Linked DNA regions of Saccharomyces cerevisiae S288C. The gene in region 3 interacts genetically with the main gene of each other region. Each region holds a gene or a part of one and is shown on either strand. Other genes may lie near its edges.

The links. Genes that interact genetically often act in the same process or in processes that back each other up.
Region 1: mutations in CTF3 (region 3) and SCC2 together harm fitness more than expected from each alone (negative genetic interaction), as found in Saccharomyces cerevisiae (3 studies listed by BioGRID).
Region 2: mutations in CTF3 (region 3) and RAD61 together harm fitness more than expected from each alone (negative genetic interaction), as found in Saccharomyces cerevisiae (5 studies listed by BioGRID, with this or other methods).

What each region holds. Positions count from the first base shown.
Region 1 is NC_001136.10:819,467-826,331, reverse strand, and holds SCC2 (cohesin-loading factor complex subunit SCC2), read right to left. Parts: upstream 5,038-6,865; coding exon 556-5,037; downstream 1-555. Other genes in the region: SAS4 (Sas4p), read left to right, coding at 1-422; NVJ3 (Nvj3p), read right to left, coding at 5,508-6,865. UniProt on the Saccharomyces cerevisiae protein: Plays a structural role in chromatin and is involved in sister chromatid cohesion. Forms a complex with SCC4 required for the stable association of the cohesin complex with chromatin, which may act by hydrolyzing ATP from SMC1 and SMC3 heads.
Region 2 is NC_001136.10:472,083-476,544, reverse strand, and holds RAD61 (Rad61p), read right to left. Parts: upstream 2,500-4,462; coding exon 556-2,499; downstream 1-555. Other genes in the region: DNA replication protein PSF1, read right to left, coding at 2,762-3,388; 60S ribosomal protein uL4 RPL4B, read right to left, coding at 3,604-4,462. UniProt on the Saccharomyces cerevisiae protein: Involved in resistance to ionizing radiation.
Region 3 is NC_001144.5:877,940-882,454, reverse strand, and holds CTF3 (Ctf3p), read right to left. Parts: upstream 2,733-4,515; coding exon 531-2,732; downstream 1-530. Other genes in the region: leucine--tRNA ligase NAM2, read left to right, coding at 1-388; CSR1 (Csr1p), read right to left, coding at 2,947-4,173. UniProt on the Saccharomyces cerevisiae protein: Component of the central kinetochore, which mediates the attachment of the centromere to the mitotic spindle by forming essential interactions between the microtubule-associated outer kinetochore proteins and the centromere-associated inner kinetochore proteins.

The DNA.
Region 1 (6,865 bases), on a different chromosome or scaffold from region 3:
CAACGCAAATTGCTGTGAAAAGAAGAAGGGAAGTCATCCCGTTAACGATGGAGGTGGAACCAGAAGTCATTCGGGATATAAGGCAAGATACACAAAAGTCTATGAAACTGAATGTTAAAGCGGAGGAAATATCTGTGACAGAGACTGTCAAATCAAAAGAAATGAATGCCTTAAGGAACAATGCTGCATCTATAAGTCCAACTCTTTCAGAGAAGGCACCTTTAGGTTCAATTTCATCTTGCACTGCATCTCAGATTTCACAAAGGTCTTCTGAGAATGTGGGTGCTATTATTAACAATATCAACCCAAACTTAGCAATAGTGCCCTCTTGTAACGAAAAGACCTTTGTAAAAACACACAATGGAATGAAAACTAACTCAGGTATTAATATTTTGCCTGTCCGCAAGAAAAAAAAGGTTTAGTTTGAACTAATATAATGCGATGGTGTAAATGAAATTCAATATTTCATAGTTGCTTCTCAAAACCTGCGTGAAAAATCAGCATGGAAAATGCAAAATGATTATTAATACTATGTATATTTTAAGTGCAATATATTTACGTATCCTTCACGTGTTTTCTAAAATATGTAAGAAGCTTGCCATTTGATGAATACTGTTCAATATTCTCCAACTGTGCGGAAAACTTACTGATATCCGGCTTCTTTGCAGGGAGTTGTTTGTTCTTCAATTCTGATTCTTCTACAATATCTAATAAAAGCACATCATCCCTTAACCCGTATAAGTGCAGTAGATAAGTACCCAAATCCTGTAAGCTTAACTGTATTAAAATTATTCCACTGAGCTTTTCTTCTGATACGGATAGCGATGAAACATTGTCACCTATTTCATCCATGATAACCTCTTTTAATCTATCTGTAGTTAAATCAATGGTTTTGAGTAGGGACACCAAATCGTACTGAGAAACAAATGTGATATTCGAAATGTTAGTGCAGAGAACGAAAATGGACTTTTGAACACTACTATTTGTTGATGTTAAATCGGTGATATCATCTAAATAGGATTGCATGATTCTCTTCAGAACTTTAAAGAACTTTGGGCCATTTTTTTTTCCAGTTCCACATAATTTTTCAAGTAAAGACAAAAAATGATCGTGCTTGTAATAATACTTCTCATCTGTATGAATAGAATAATGTATAGCTTTTGTAACCCCTCGAGATAAACTACTGAATACTAGCGTTTCGTATTTCTCAAAAAGATCTTCTAACAACTCATAGGCGACATGACGAATATACTGGCTAGTAGAGGCAAATAAAGCAATTACAGTTGGAATTGAATGAGAGGGATTTGTGTAACCAAATTTCAAAATCAACTTTAATAATCGAATAGCTACGAGAGAATTCTTTAGATCACGTAGGAGACATAGTTGGAGAATATTGTCTAAAAATCTAGTAGCCAACGCTGAACATACTCCATCATTTGCAAACTCTACCCTATTCGTTTTCAGTAATTTCTTTTTCAAAATGGAGTTCGAAGACAAAGTGCTATTAACGCCAGTGTTTCTCACTGACTTCCTTTCTTCCAGTAGAAAAAGATCATATAAACTTTCTAGAATTACTAGTTTAATATCTAGCTGATCGCTCTGAAATTCTTTGTCCAGTAAATGTAGAACGTGTCTTGAATTGAATAGTTTTGGATGATTTCCACATAATTTAGTGAGATTTTTCACAGCAACCCTTCTTATTACGTGTGTAATTTTGTCTTTAGATAGTACAAGTAGGCATTTGGTAATATGTTCATACAGGGTTTCACCTTCTTGTAAAAATGCAATTTTATCATTGGAGGGTTTAGGAAAGCAGAACCTGGCAAAACCGGTGGATAAATATATCAGCCTTTGCAATTTTCCGTCAACTACAATGGCAGCTTCCTCGTTATTTGCCTTATTTATATATGGATGTAAATGGGAAAGACAGGATGAACATGCTTTAGCTACTCTAGCAGTATCATGACGATGAGTGGCAACAGACCAGATAAGAGGCATAGCTTCATCTATCTCTCTTACATTCATCTTTGGTAGCCTACTCAAAAGGGTCGTCTCTAAGTCATACAAAAATTTCTGTTTAAAGTTGGCCAATTTTTCAAAAGTGCATCTAAAGACTTGCAAGATATAATAGTGGAAGTCAGATTTTTCGTCCGATACCATATAAGGATACAATGCTGTAATGTGGTCTTTAGTCAAAAATGACACAGTAGAATCAGCAAACTTCGCCAAAAGGTTTAAAAAATTTTGTTTATCAACAATCGAATTCTTTTCATTTGTGTCATCTGAGTTGAGCTCGACAATTTTTTGTACCAAAAAGTCGGTAAGAATGGTTAGAACGTGAGTGATTTTATCGTATGCTTCTTTTGAATGCGCTTCTTTGTTTAGGAGATAAAAGTTGAGAAACAAGTCGAAAAGTTGGGAGCATTTCTCATTCATTATAGCCACACGGGACATTACTAGTAGGACTGAAGAAGAAATTTCTTTCAACTTTTCGGGCTGGTCCAATACTTCATGTACCTTTAATATCCATCTATTTAATAAAATCAGCCTAGCCATATCAATTATATTGTCCTCCTCGTCTTCTATTTTCATTAGGATTCTTGCTATTACGTATACCTTCGTGACGATGTCGTTCGTCTCGTCGTACATTTTTTCATTAATTCTTAACACATGTTTTCTTACCATTATGCTATCATCGTTATAGTTGTTGTTAATTTGTTGATAAAATTCGAAGTATGAAGAATTAATACTGACCAAATCTAGAATGGCATCCTTGACAGATGCAGATGAGTCGTTTAAACGCCGGTGAATAGTTTCTTTAACCATTGGGTTTGAAAGTATCACTTTGTCTTTTGAAGCCAACATCGAGAGACATTTAATAGCAGTCGATCTCAGTTTGATTTTATCCTTGGCTAGAAGTGATAATATCAACTTCAAGTATGGATCGTATAGATTCAGTAGTTCAAAGGCGTGCAAAATAGAAAAATAATCCAATTTAATCGTACTAAAATCTGCTTCTCTGTTCTCTAATTCGGGTCCAAGTCCACCATCTTTTATCTGCTCCAATATTTTTTTCAATTCATTGTCAACGGTTATAATTTGTTCTTTGGCATCCTTTGTATACTCTTCTAATATCAAGATCGTACCGAGCCTTAAATTCCAAAGGAATCTTGTTGCAGAACGACGGCATTTGATCGTTTCATTATATGCAATGCATTCTTCAAATGATTTAAAAAAATGCGGCAAAGTTTCGGGGTAATTAATCATTTTAATCAAGTTGTTATCTTCATGGTCTCTAGTTGAGCATTTAATATCAAAAATTGTAGAACCAATATTCCCTATAAGTTGTAAACATATTGTTTCAATGTTTGCAGAAACTTGCATGGATGGGCTGTATACACTTAGAAGTCTCTTTAACAAAGAGCTTAGTATTTTTTCTGTTACAGGCCACTGAGGGGAGGAAATTAGCAATAATAGATCTTGGACAAAGTTGTCAATTACATACCTTAAAGCGGACGGGTTCTTGAAAAACCTTTCCAGTATTGTGTCATTTATATGCTCAACAATGTTAAAAAGAAATTCTTCTTGCTTTTTGTATTCGTTCTTTAATAGATCAATATTCTCTGGTGCAATATCCTTCATCTGATTACAGAAGGAGTAGCAATTAATATTCTCTAACATTGACATTAAAGTAAAGGTAAAATCAGTGATATAAATGTTTTGGTTACCAACTTTTCTTAGTTTTTTTTGTATTCTCTTAGTGGGAAGCTTTTCGATATGAGATAGTAGTTCTTCTATAATAAATCCTCTCTGTTGATCAAAACTACCGAATAATGAAACTAAAATATCAGAGCTGATTCTCTTCACATTATCCCAAAAACTTTGAAATTGGATATTCGTAGTTGCTTCAATGTCATTATTCATCAGCAAGTCGCTAAAGATGTACACAAGCTTTGCCGTGACATTATCATCCAGAAAAGGGCCGTTACGTATGTATTTCGGTAGCAATTCTAGGGCCTCCTGGAAAGTGTCAAATTCTATCTTCAAAGAACCATATTCAATTGTTAATATTTTTAGAGATTCTATCAAGTCGCTTAAAAAATTCACCGGTTCCATGATGTATGATTCCCGATGTAAGTTGCTGTCATTCTTACCCAGTAAAAAAATATTGAATAGTACAATTGTAGAAAGCAAAGCAATATATCGTAACATAGAATCATCTAAACCCATCTTTAAAGAGCTTTTACTGAACTTTATATTACAAACCATCACATCAAGCAATCTCAAAAGCCATGTTATTTCGATTGAGTTCGATAGCTGTGGGTTATCGGTAATATTTTTAATTGTCATTTGTAATTTGGTTAAGCAGTTTGTAGTTAAAACGAATTTTTTATTTGGCAACTGGAGCCAGTACTCGATATTTCCAATTTCAGCAGAGTTTTGGTCAAATCCAACAATATCTAAAATATTTTTAAGATCATTCAAATATTGTTCCGCTAAATTCGCTTGTGTCATGGTTACACCTGTTGAAGTTTTGGTTTTCTTGTTGGAAGAATTGTCGTTGAAACTCAAGTTACCAGCATTCGAAGTCACACTTTCGAGCTTATGCTTTGCCTCCGGTCTGCTTACTATTTCACTTTTTTTCTCGATGTTAATGGAATCATTCAACCCTTTATGGGTTGATAGAACACTCTGCGCTAGCGGTGATAATCCTTCCAAAAAGTTAGTTGGGACATAATCAACAGAATTGGCTGATGACGTAAAATTACTGGGTCTTTTGAAAACAAGCCTTTCTTTTTCGGCCTCATTCTTTATGGAAGAAGTAGTGCTGTTAGCTGTACCTAGAACATTTATATTAACATCTCTGCCATCATCAGCGCTGGTAAAGATAGTCTTGTCAAAAGGTAAAGAAACCCGCATTGGGGCATTTACTAGCGCGGCTAACCCATCCTTAGGAACCAGATAACTCAAAGGCAGGTCTTCTAGGGCCTCTATTATTCTTCCAGGAATATTCTTGTCTTTCCCTGGGTACGACATTGCTAGCCGCCAATTCTTTCAAAAAATGAATAGTTATAAGAACAATACTCTCACAACAAACGAAAAGCCTGAGCACACAGGAGCAAACCAATACACAAAAGAAAAATTGCTATAAGTGGAGCACTCGAATGTGACTTGTTGTTATCGAACTCTAAGCCTGAGCTAGAAAAAACTTTAGTTACTAAACTGCATCGTTCTTTTTCAGCCAGTGTTTTTTTTAAGCGAAGTGGCGGCAGTTTCGCGTTTAACATAAAAGCAATACCACTTTTACCTGTTCGGGCAAAAGGAATAGATATTTGCATATTTGGCAATGAATAGTGCTAATGATTAGGTCATAAAAGCTATTTGTTAACAATGTTCTTGCTTCCTAAGACCTTACTTCATAGTATAAAAATTGGTAATAATGCTACAAAGAGTGCTATTTCGGTAACATCAAATATTTGTCAACAATACTCTATACATCACGAAGTCTACGGCAACTGCGCAATAACACAGTCAATAATTCTATAAATTAGCAGTTTATTGCAATCCCTATTCTTCGATATGCAGATAATAAGATCCGCTATGTCAGACCTTTTGATAGCGAGGATATGATCAAGTTTATAAGTCATACAAACATCCCATAAATTGGAAATACACTCTTCTCTGAACTCTAGAAAAGCATCACCCACTGGTAATACTCTTGGTGGCCCCATCATATTGTCATTAGGAAACAAAGAATGTCGTAATAATGAGAATAAGTTGCCAATTGTCACAGGGCTGGTAATTTTAGTTTGAACAATATTGTCAAATGTTCTATACATGACCCTGTTTAACGCATTTAATTTAGAGATCCAATGCTGAAGCGTTCTGCATATTGAGAATAGGAATGGCTTCCTCATAGATAATTTGAAAAAATCATCGGTGAAAAAAGTAAAAATATATCTTTGTAGAAATGCTGTTTCTTGAATTTCGGCAGTGTTCATATTTGCTGCTTCTGTTGAAGTTGAATAAGCTAAAAGCCTGGTCATTTGCAATATTTTGTGCTTTACATTGGAAACAAACAACCAGGGATCGCATTTAGGCTTTCCATGAGTCACCTCGTTTCTGGTATTTCCTGCAGAATTTAGCTTTATTCTTATGCAAATTTTATTCAAGCCCTCCAGAAGATAATATGGTTCCGCTATTGAATTAAAAATATGCCCGAACACAAGTTCATTTAAAAAGCTATCCAAAAAGCTTCTCTGTAGTAGAGATTTGGTGCTCATTTTACTTTGTATGATTTCAGTGAATAGCATTGGATATCGTTTCGAATCATACAAAGTTAGCTTACAGTACTGTTCATAAACTAAATCGTTATTTTGAGATGAGTCATTTAATGCTTTCAAGTGAGACGAAAGCAAGCAGGGAATATAATCGAGTAAAAGGGCATGGTAATTGATTTTGGAACTCTTCAAATATGTTATTAAATCTTGAACTAAGTTATATAGTTCGGTTAAAAACTTGGAATCATCAGTGGGTATTTTGATACCATACCAAGACTTAACGAAATTTTGGAAAATTAAGGCAATAAAGGTATTTACCTGTAGGTCTGGCAAAGCTTCTATGCTTCTGATTTTCTGATGTAATGAATTTGGGTATATAGAGAAACATAAATCCCTTAGATACTCAACCGAATCTTTTTCAAATTCACTCTCAAACGAAACATCATTACCAGAATTTTTCGTATGACTACAATCTTTCTCCCAAATATCTCCACTCGATTTAGAATTCAGTCGTGTATGTCCTTTTTTTGACAGAAAGCCTTTATATTGATTTGAGGCATTTGGCCTTCGGTACTTGGTAATTA
Region 2 (4,462 bases), on a different chromosome or scaffold from region 3:
AGGTTTTAGTCTTTCAGTTTTTTAAGCCCTTTCAACCTTTTTTAAAAGGTGCGGAGATCCTGCTCATATTTTTTTATGATTAGTTATTTTGATATTATGCGTATGATAAATAATCACACCAAGTAATTCAACCTGAATTTCTTATTCGTGTTTAATATGAAACAGTATGATTTCTTTTATTTGTATAACGCTCCTGATGAATTGTGCAGTCAAGGAAATTAATTAAATAATTAAATAATACTGCATTTATTTTCCACCAAACTTATGTCGTGAAAAAAAATTGTCAGGAGTATAACTCTTAAAAAGTAAGCTACCATTGACATTTTAAAGAAATTGTAGATGAACATATTAAAAGCGCCATAAGGCATACAAAAAAATACGCTAGAAGGCTCATCAAAGATCCTGGTAGCTTCAATGCACTGAAAGCGATGTCAAAATTTAAGCAAGTGCATGGCATTCATTAATTTAAGGATAACATAATAAATTCTGGACAATTTTTCAATAGTTGCCAGCAGGGTGAAGATGAAGCCAGGCTATGTTCAATGTATGCTTTCTTTATATTGTAATTCTTTCACTCGTGTATATTGATTTTAGGTAATTTAACGCTATTTCGATTTTATTTGAAATACCTTCATTAAATTGAGATGTTTCCGATTTAAATGCTTCCAGCTCTACTAGTAACAAATTGAGCTCCCCTGGGTCTAAATTACTATTTTCTTTCCGTTGTTTAATTAAAAATGAAAAATTTAAGTAAAACAGGCCCTGTACTAACCTATTTTCAGTGTCAGAACCGTCACGGATCATTTTAACAAATATAGTTTTCATATCATACCATAATTTGCCGTCAAGTTTTAAACGACTATTTTCTCTACTGCAAATATTGAGGCAGAGCCCTAAATGCAAGAGTATGTTATCAACTTTCGCGTCTGTCAATGGATGTATGCTTTCCAAAATTGTGTTCATTGAACTTTGAAATATCATATCTGCCTCTTTCCATAGCGTATAGTTATGTACTTCCATGTTTGTTAACAAGATTAGGATTTTAATCAACGAGTCATCATCAAGCATATCCTTAAACTGATTATTCAAGTTGCTTATCAGTGAATCGAACATTTCAGGTTGTTCAATATACATGTGGCAAAATTCGGAAGCGGTTATTAATTTTTCTAAAAGAGGAATAAAAGTCTTAACGTGCCGACTGAATAAGTCCTTATTTGAAGCAAGGATGGAGATTCTCTTGATTATATCTAACGATAAATTACCATGCATTTCCCAGAGTGATAATGAATAATAAAGTCCCGTTTTGAATTGAGTCTTCCGAAGAAAGTCTTCGAAATTTAGGTGTGAGAGTTTTTTAATATGCTTATTCTTTTTTGTCCGTATTTTACCATCATCTTTACTTAATTCGATAGAGAAATTGTCAAAGCTTGGCGGGAAATCGGATTGTGATTCACTAACTTTATGTAGTAAATAACCCTGTAATAAGATTAATTCAGGAAAATCCGATCTAAATTGCGCAAAACTAAGCTTAATTATTTCCTTTTTGAAATATCTTTTCGCATATTGAAAAAATTCTTCGTCATTAATAATCATTAGGGATAAATTTAAAAGTTTTTTAAAGTATTCATTGATTGGTACCGTAGTATTGTCATTACTTTTAGAATTGGACAGAAGAAACTCAATATCATCCTGGTATTTTATTGTATCTCCCATATTTTTTAATTCGTTGTAGTGATTTGTTGAAGTTAATCCTTCTTTTTCAGCATTACTGTTGTCAGCGTTATTTAGGGACAAGGTGTTAGCTTTCTGATCTACCTCTTCTCCCATTATTTCATTTTCTTTATTTTTGTTTATTAATATTGTTCTAAATTTGCCATATTTTTTGTCTTTGGATGTGCGTATGCTATTATTCTCTATAGAGTCGTCCATCTTCATCTCATTTTCAAGCATTTTATTCAGTATATCATCGTCAGCTCTCGGTAGCTTCAATATGAATTCATTGATGTCATTGTATATTTTCCTTATTGATTCAAATTCATTGTGCATTGTAATGCTGTCTTCATCTTGTACGTCTGGTTCAATTGAAGACGTTATGTTCGCATCATGCTTTTGGTAAGTTCTTCTTCTTTTTCTCTTAGATGCCTTTGAACCATCAAGGAAATTAAAGGCACTTAACTTTTCATCTTTCATAAATGCCATTGAGGTATCACTGCTAGTGATAATTTTGACGTTTTGGTCATTCCTTTTTGAGTCCAGTTGTGAAGAGGGCTTCTCATTTGCACCATCAAATGACGACGAGCTGTCCTGAGCCTTTCTAGGCTCGTCCAATAATCCCTCTATCGGGTGGTCTGCAATACTGCTCGAAATGGTAGAACTTACATCAGGAATCACGGAGTTTACATCGTCATCACTAAATTCAACATCGGAAGAAGATGGCAAGCCTTTATTAGATCTAAAAGGAGTTCTGAGAACTGGGCCCCTCTTTCCATATGCTCTCATTTTTTCAGAAACAGGATGCTTTAGGGTAAGAAGATGGTTTCGTTTTGCGATAGTTTCTCTGCGCAGTTTTTCATTATTATAATAAAGTGAAGCTTCGTCATCAATAAAGTCGCGTAAAGCTCAGAAAGCCTCCTCAACCAAAACTTACGAAATCTATTAAAAAGGGCTGAAGTAAACATAGAAGGGAGTAAATTAGAATGGAGGTATGTATCTTGCTTTATAAAGGATTATATATCATGAAGACCAGCTTGAAAGCATTTTATCATATCTTCTGCAAATAACCTTGTTGAATCAAACGCTCTACATCAGACTGCCTTACGAAAAACTGGGAGTCTTTAATAAGGTTAAACACGCCGTATTCAGTTTGAATCTCACCAGCATCTTTGAGCACTCTAACATCAATAAATACATCGCTCGGAGGCACTAAAGAGCCGGATAAATCAATATCGACCAAGTCACCACTTTTTAAATCAGTAATTAAATCGCAGTATTCTTTCAAATATTCCTGCTCTTGATGAGAAAGGTTATTTGTGTCTTGTTGGCTAAACGTAATGCTACTCATCAAGTCCAGACCATTATTATTCCAAGCCATAGAATCTAGTATGTCTGTTCTCAACCTTTGGTATGCTAAGAGACATCTCTTGTTCCTTTCCATACATAACAAGGTAACGAAATACTGGCATTTAGCCACCTTATCATCTAGCATTCCTAGTTGCTGCTGTTCTTTAAGATATTCCGTATTTTTACGTAAATTTGAAACTTCTTTCAGAATATTTCGTATTATATCTTCATGATACATGGGTAAATTAACATCTTGATTACTTCTTGCGTACAGCTGTTTTGTTCTTTTAGCTTCTAATACTAATTTATTACCTAAATCTCCATACATGATTCTCTGTGAGCATGGCCGTTTATAAACGATTTTCCCTCACATCTATTTTTCAGCTTTCTTCGTTAGTTATTTTAAATTACAATTTTCGCGTTGTAACGACAAGAAGGTTTTGAGCAAATCTGACGTTTCGACTTTAAAGAAAACAAAAAGGTTTGATTAAAGACTAGTAACAAAGATATTTAAATTAAAGTTAAAGATCTATACTATAAATTCTAGTCATGCTTCAAGGTTTCGGCGAAAACAGCAGCTGGCTTGGTACCAGTCTTTTCAGCCTTCTTGGAACCTAGCTTTTCAGCAGCAAAGACCTTGGCGTAAGGGTTCAATCTCAACAAAACTTGCTTGTTCTTCAATGGGTTCTTCTTCAAAACGTGAGTACGCTTTTGAGTAGCTTGGCCAGCTGGTCTGATAGCAGATTGGATTTCAGAAGAGTTGATAATTCTGGTGACATCAGAAGTGGAGATGATGTGGGATGGCAAAGTGTAACCGACCTTGGAGGAGGCAACGGTTTCGGAACCCCAGACTTGGTCCAACTTGGTGAAAGCAGCTTCGGTCCAGATAACGAATCTACCCAAGTGAGCACCTGGAGCCAATTGCAACAAGTTCAAAGAAGCAACGTTGGCAGTTTCAACACCTGGAACGTTTCTCAAGGCCTTGACGATACCGTTGTCTTCAGCGTAGACAACTAATGGACCTCTTCTTTGAGTCCATCTTCTGTTTCTGTACTTACCCTTACCGGCTCTCAATTTCTTGGACTTCAAGACCTTCAACAAGTCGGAGTGAGCACCAACAGCCTTCAAAGCAGCAACAGCTTCCTTGGTCTTTTGAATAGATTCCAAGTCAGTGGAGACAACCAATGGGATTTCTGGAATCTTTTCGACTCTGTGACCTCTGGCCAAGACCAAAGAAGCAACAGCAGTAGCAGCAATAGCAGAAGCAGTGGCGTAACGCTTTTCGTTGTGGTTAACCTTAACGTTCCACTTTCTCCAGGTCTTAGTTGGAGCAAACATACGACCACCACGACACATGTTACCGAAGGCACCTTGACCGGATCTACCGGTACCACCACCACCA
Region 3 (4,515 bases):
TATTTTAGAAAGTGCATTGAAAAAAGGTGAAGTAAGGAATGAAATGATAGTACAGAATTTACAAAAGTTGGTAACCGTTATATATCCTGCTGTCCCGTCAATTTCAGAAGAAGCTGCAGAGATGATCAACTCCCAAATGGAATGGAACCAATACCGCTGGCCAGAAGTTGAGCGCACTACTGAGTCCAAATTCAAAAAGTTTCAAATTGTGGTAAATGGCAGAGTCAAATTCATGTACACGGCTGACAAAAACTTTTTGAAATTAGGTAGGGATGCTGTTATTGAAACTTTGATGAACTTACCGGAAGGGAGAATGTATTTGATGAATAAAAAAATCAAAAAATTTGTCATGAAATTCAATGTGATTAGTTTCTTATTCCACAAGTAATCATATGACGCCATGAATTTACCACTAGTGCTTGTAAATAGTTAAATATTAATGCCTTATAGATATAAATTGTCCAATCTCCTTTTTGGAAGTTATAATATATATATATATATATATATGTATATAAATGTGGATGCATATTCTAAGAATTTTGAACGCTATACTTTGAGAGACTCTTCAAATATGTAAACAAGAATGCTGCAATGTCTCTATATGGATTAGCAGTGTTACTCAAATGCATTAAAATCTTTACTCTCAAGTCGTGAATGTTATTAACGCCCTTTATCCAACCATGCTGGCCAATCTCATCATGATGAACTCGAAAGAAATTGTTAAACGTCTCTTCATTTATGATCCCACTGGTGAATTTTATTTTGGTATTTTCGGCCGTTTCCAGTCGTCTTAGAATAATAATACATATGTAGGATAGCGCTGGTATACCAGTTATCGTGAAAAATTTAGCGTTCTTGAAGTCTGCAGTTGGGATATAAAGATTCTCCAAAATCTGCTTAAAGAAATCTGGTGAGACTCCAAACAAACTTTTGGATGACAGAACTTTATTCCTGTAAAGATAATTTGTCAAATCCATGATATATTGGTTCTGCATCCGAACGAATTTGTTTGTTGACGGGTATTGCATCAATTTATTTTTCGTAGCAACCAAGTACCTGCACGCAGCTGATAATAGCAAAGGATCGTCCGAACTGAACACTTTATTCATGATGTCAGGGCCCACAATCAAATATTGGATCGCATAATCCGACTTCGTTTGTTTCGACAGTTGAGTTAAAATATCTAACGAGCTGATGAAAGCCATCGTAGAAAATCTGTTTGAAGTAGCATTGTTAAAGATTTTGTCCAAAGTTAGCAGGCTTTGCATGTCATGCAGTAGTGTCAACCCGAGTGCTATCAATTTATCATCTAAAACCCAGTTTGTAATCATTTGTAAAACGTAAAAACAAGTTTCAGAAAATGTGCAATTATTGTCGTGACCATCTCGTGTACTCCACATAAAAATACTGGCCATAAACTTAACGAAAAATTCCCTTGTACCACTGATTAGTTCAGGCTTCCATAATGGCAAGATTCCGCCACAAACCTTTTTCAACGTAAGCTCATCGAGTTTTAAGTATTTCAAATTACAAAACGTTTGAATAATGCGAGAAGACAGTTTATTATCCATTGAGGACACCGAAATAATAATGGGAATAACTTCTTGCGGAGTCTCTATCTGATGTGCAAAGCATCGCTTCAATTGCCAAATGCACCATTCGTATGGTGATGACGACTCATCGCGGCTATTTTTAATGAGAATGATACTAGAGTACAAGTGTTTGAGAGAATCCCTAGACATGACTTTTCGCGGCAGTAAAACATTGCTGTTTAAAGATGGCTTCATCATGTAATCTACATCATTGGGAATATGCAATTGTGGCCAGTTTTGAGCTAATTGTTCCAATGAAGTGACATCCCAAAGAGAGACCGTACTGTCAGAGGGAACATATTCTGGAAGTGATTGAAGTCGAAGTGGGTATATAGAATCAGCACCTAATTGATGAATTTCACTCAAGTACATGTCAATTGTGTTTTGGACAGTGTCAGCGGGAAAATTAGCGGGATGTGCTCTGGATAATATTCTTTTCAAAATGGATAGGAAATGCGCATCCAATTTTAAGTTTCGATGACTTTTCAAAGTCTTTCTATTGCAATTGATGGTAATTATTGATTCAGTAATCTGACTGGATGCGCCCACGAGACATTGAAATCGTTGCAAAATAAGCGTCGCACTACCGGGAGCGTCCCGGTAACCTGGATGCATAGCGCATCTCTTGATAATAGACAACTTCCAAGGTTTGACATCAACGGGCGTCGTGGCTTGCCAAATAACCAGGGGAGTTATCCACTTCTGTAAGAACGAGAATTGCCATAAATGTAACCAGATAGAACTGGATATATTGTGTTCTCGTTCTGAATGTACAGGAAATAGGAAATAAACATGCACTAACCATTTGCACAACGCAGATTGTAGGACCGGAGGCGTTTGTATGCGATATCTAGAGAATACCGTTGGCGTACCGAGATGGTTAATAATCTCCAAAAGAAGTTCCTTCGTCAAGTAGCCATCAGGTAAAAAGCAATTTTCGACGATGTACACTTTTGTAACTGTGTCTATTATGGAAGTTTCACAGAGTAACCTTACAAGTGCTTGTAGTTGCGGCGAAGAAAGACCATATTGTTTTGATTTTTCGTATAGCAGGCTTAAAGTGGTTTTAAGGGCCTGTGGTGGCGTTCGTTCGTTAGCATTCGTTAGTGAGAGGATGATATCATCTAGTATAAGACTCATTCATGTAAAAAAAACAAAAATTGAAGGGCGAACCGTATTAGCAGGCGTATTGTTTTTCATTTCATAGTTGATTGTTTTTGATAATAAATGATTCTATAATTTTTCGCGTATTATACAAATAAAAGTAAAAGAAAAATAAGATAGAGGGACATATAAAGAAATAGATGTTTTTATAATAAAGGTCTATACAGTATGGAGCGTCGCGTGGCTTGGCTCAAACTTTTAGAGAACCATTGTAGTCATAAACGGATCTTGATCTGATGTACGGATCTAACTTGGAGTAGTTTTCACAAAGAGCGGTGGAAAGTTGTACTCTTTTCTCCTGCAGTTGAATGTATGCTGGATCGTTCAATGGCTGGTGTTCAATCCATTGGGCAGTGACAGTCAAGAATTGTTCGACCAATTCTTCTCTCTCCTTTTCGATCATAGCGCGAGTCTCGGTGTCTTTCAGATGGACGTCCAAAGAGCCATCTGGTGGAGTGTAATGATCCAAATCATTGTCATTTTCTCCGCCCAGATACCTAGGGATGTATTGGGGTTGGATAAACTTGTGCAATTCGTCGATATTCTTAGTGAAAACAATCTTGGACGCGACGACCGGATCCAGCCAATTCTTGATGATGTTCCAAATCGGGTTAAAGATCCAAGGGGCCTTATGGATAAGTAGATGGCCCAAAGATTCCGGGTAGTGAGCCTCAAAACAAGTGATTAGAAACTTGACGGGGGCATAGTCCATATTGGACATGGAGAACCCGTTCAGATCGAACAAGATGGTGGTGGATGCGGGGTAGTTTTCTTTGAAGAAAAGCTTTGATTGCTCGATGACCAACAGGGAGAATTTTTCCAGCTCCTGTTCAGTTTGGTCGGAAGAATGATGTAATCTAGGTCTCACAAGGATGACTGGCCTCATGTCATTGTCGTAACCCTGGATGGTGGCCTTTTGCAATTCCAGGTTCTTAATGACACCGGTCTCGTTATTCTCATACACAGCTCTTTCGCCACCGTTTATGATCTTGTTAATAGTGTCCTTGCGCCAGTACAAATCGTGACCCAACATGGCGATGGTCTTGTCTGCGTTCCACTTTCTGGCTCTGATAAACTTCAAAATGGTGGCGTCTGGAGTTTCATTCTTGATATCGTGCCAGAACTGCTTCTTGGTCGTTTGCGGGTCTAGATTGGCTAGTGCCTTGTGTATCTTGCCCTTTTCATAGAGGTGTGCCGCTTCAGCGGCTTCGCTGGAGTCCTGTGTATGGTCTGAGGACTGAAGCTTGCTAAACCAGGATGATTTCTTCTTCTTAGCAGGGGTGGACGAGGAGTGGAGGGAGTTATTAGGGAAAATATGAGTTCCATCCACGGGAACTTGCCACAGATGGAAAAGGTGTGTCCAAATTTGCTTAAGGACGACCTCCTGGTCTTCGGTCAACTGTCTATCAAAGGACATAATCTAGTTTATATGTGGTCTTCTTATGTGCTTTTGTGCTTTTATGCTTCTGTGTGCGTACGTATCCGTATATTTGTATGTTTGATTTTGTTTAAAGGAGCGTAAGTGACAAGTGCCAAGATTTAAAGAGCGTACCAAACGCTATTGTTTTCACCATGTGAACAAAGCTGTAACGATTTTATGTACGTACGCAAGAGGACGATGCCGATTGAAGGCAGGAGCTCAACAAACACGAAACAAAACAACGAAGAAAGAAAAGAAATATATCAGAGAACAGAGACCGCCTCGTTTAGGGCCGCACGTATACCGCGCACTCTTGGGACGCAGGGACGCGATGGCCTT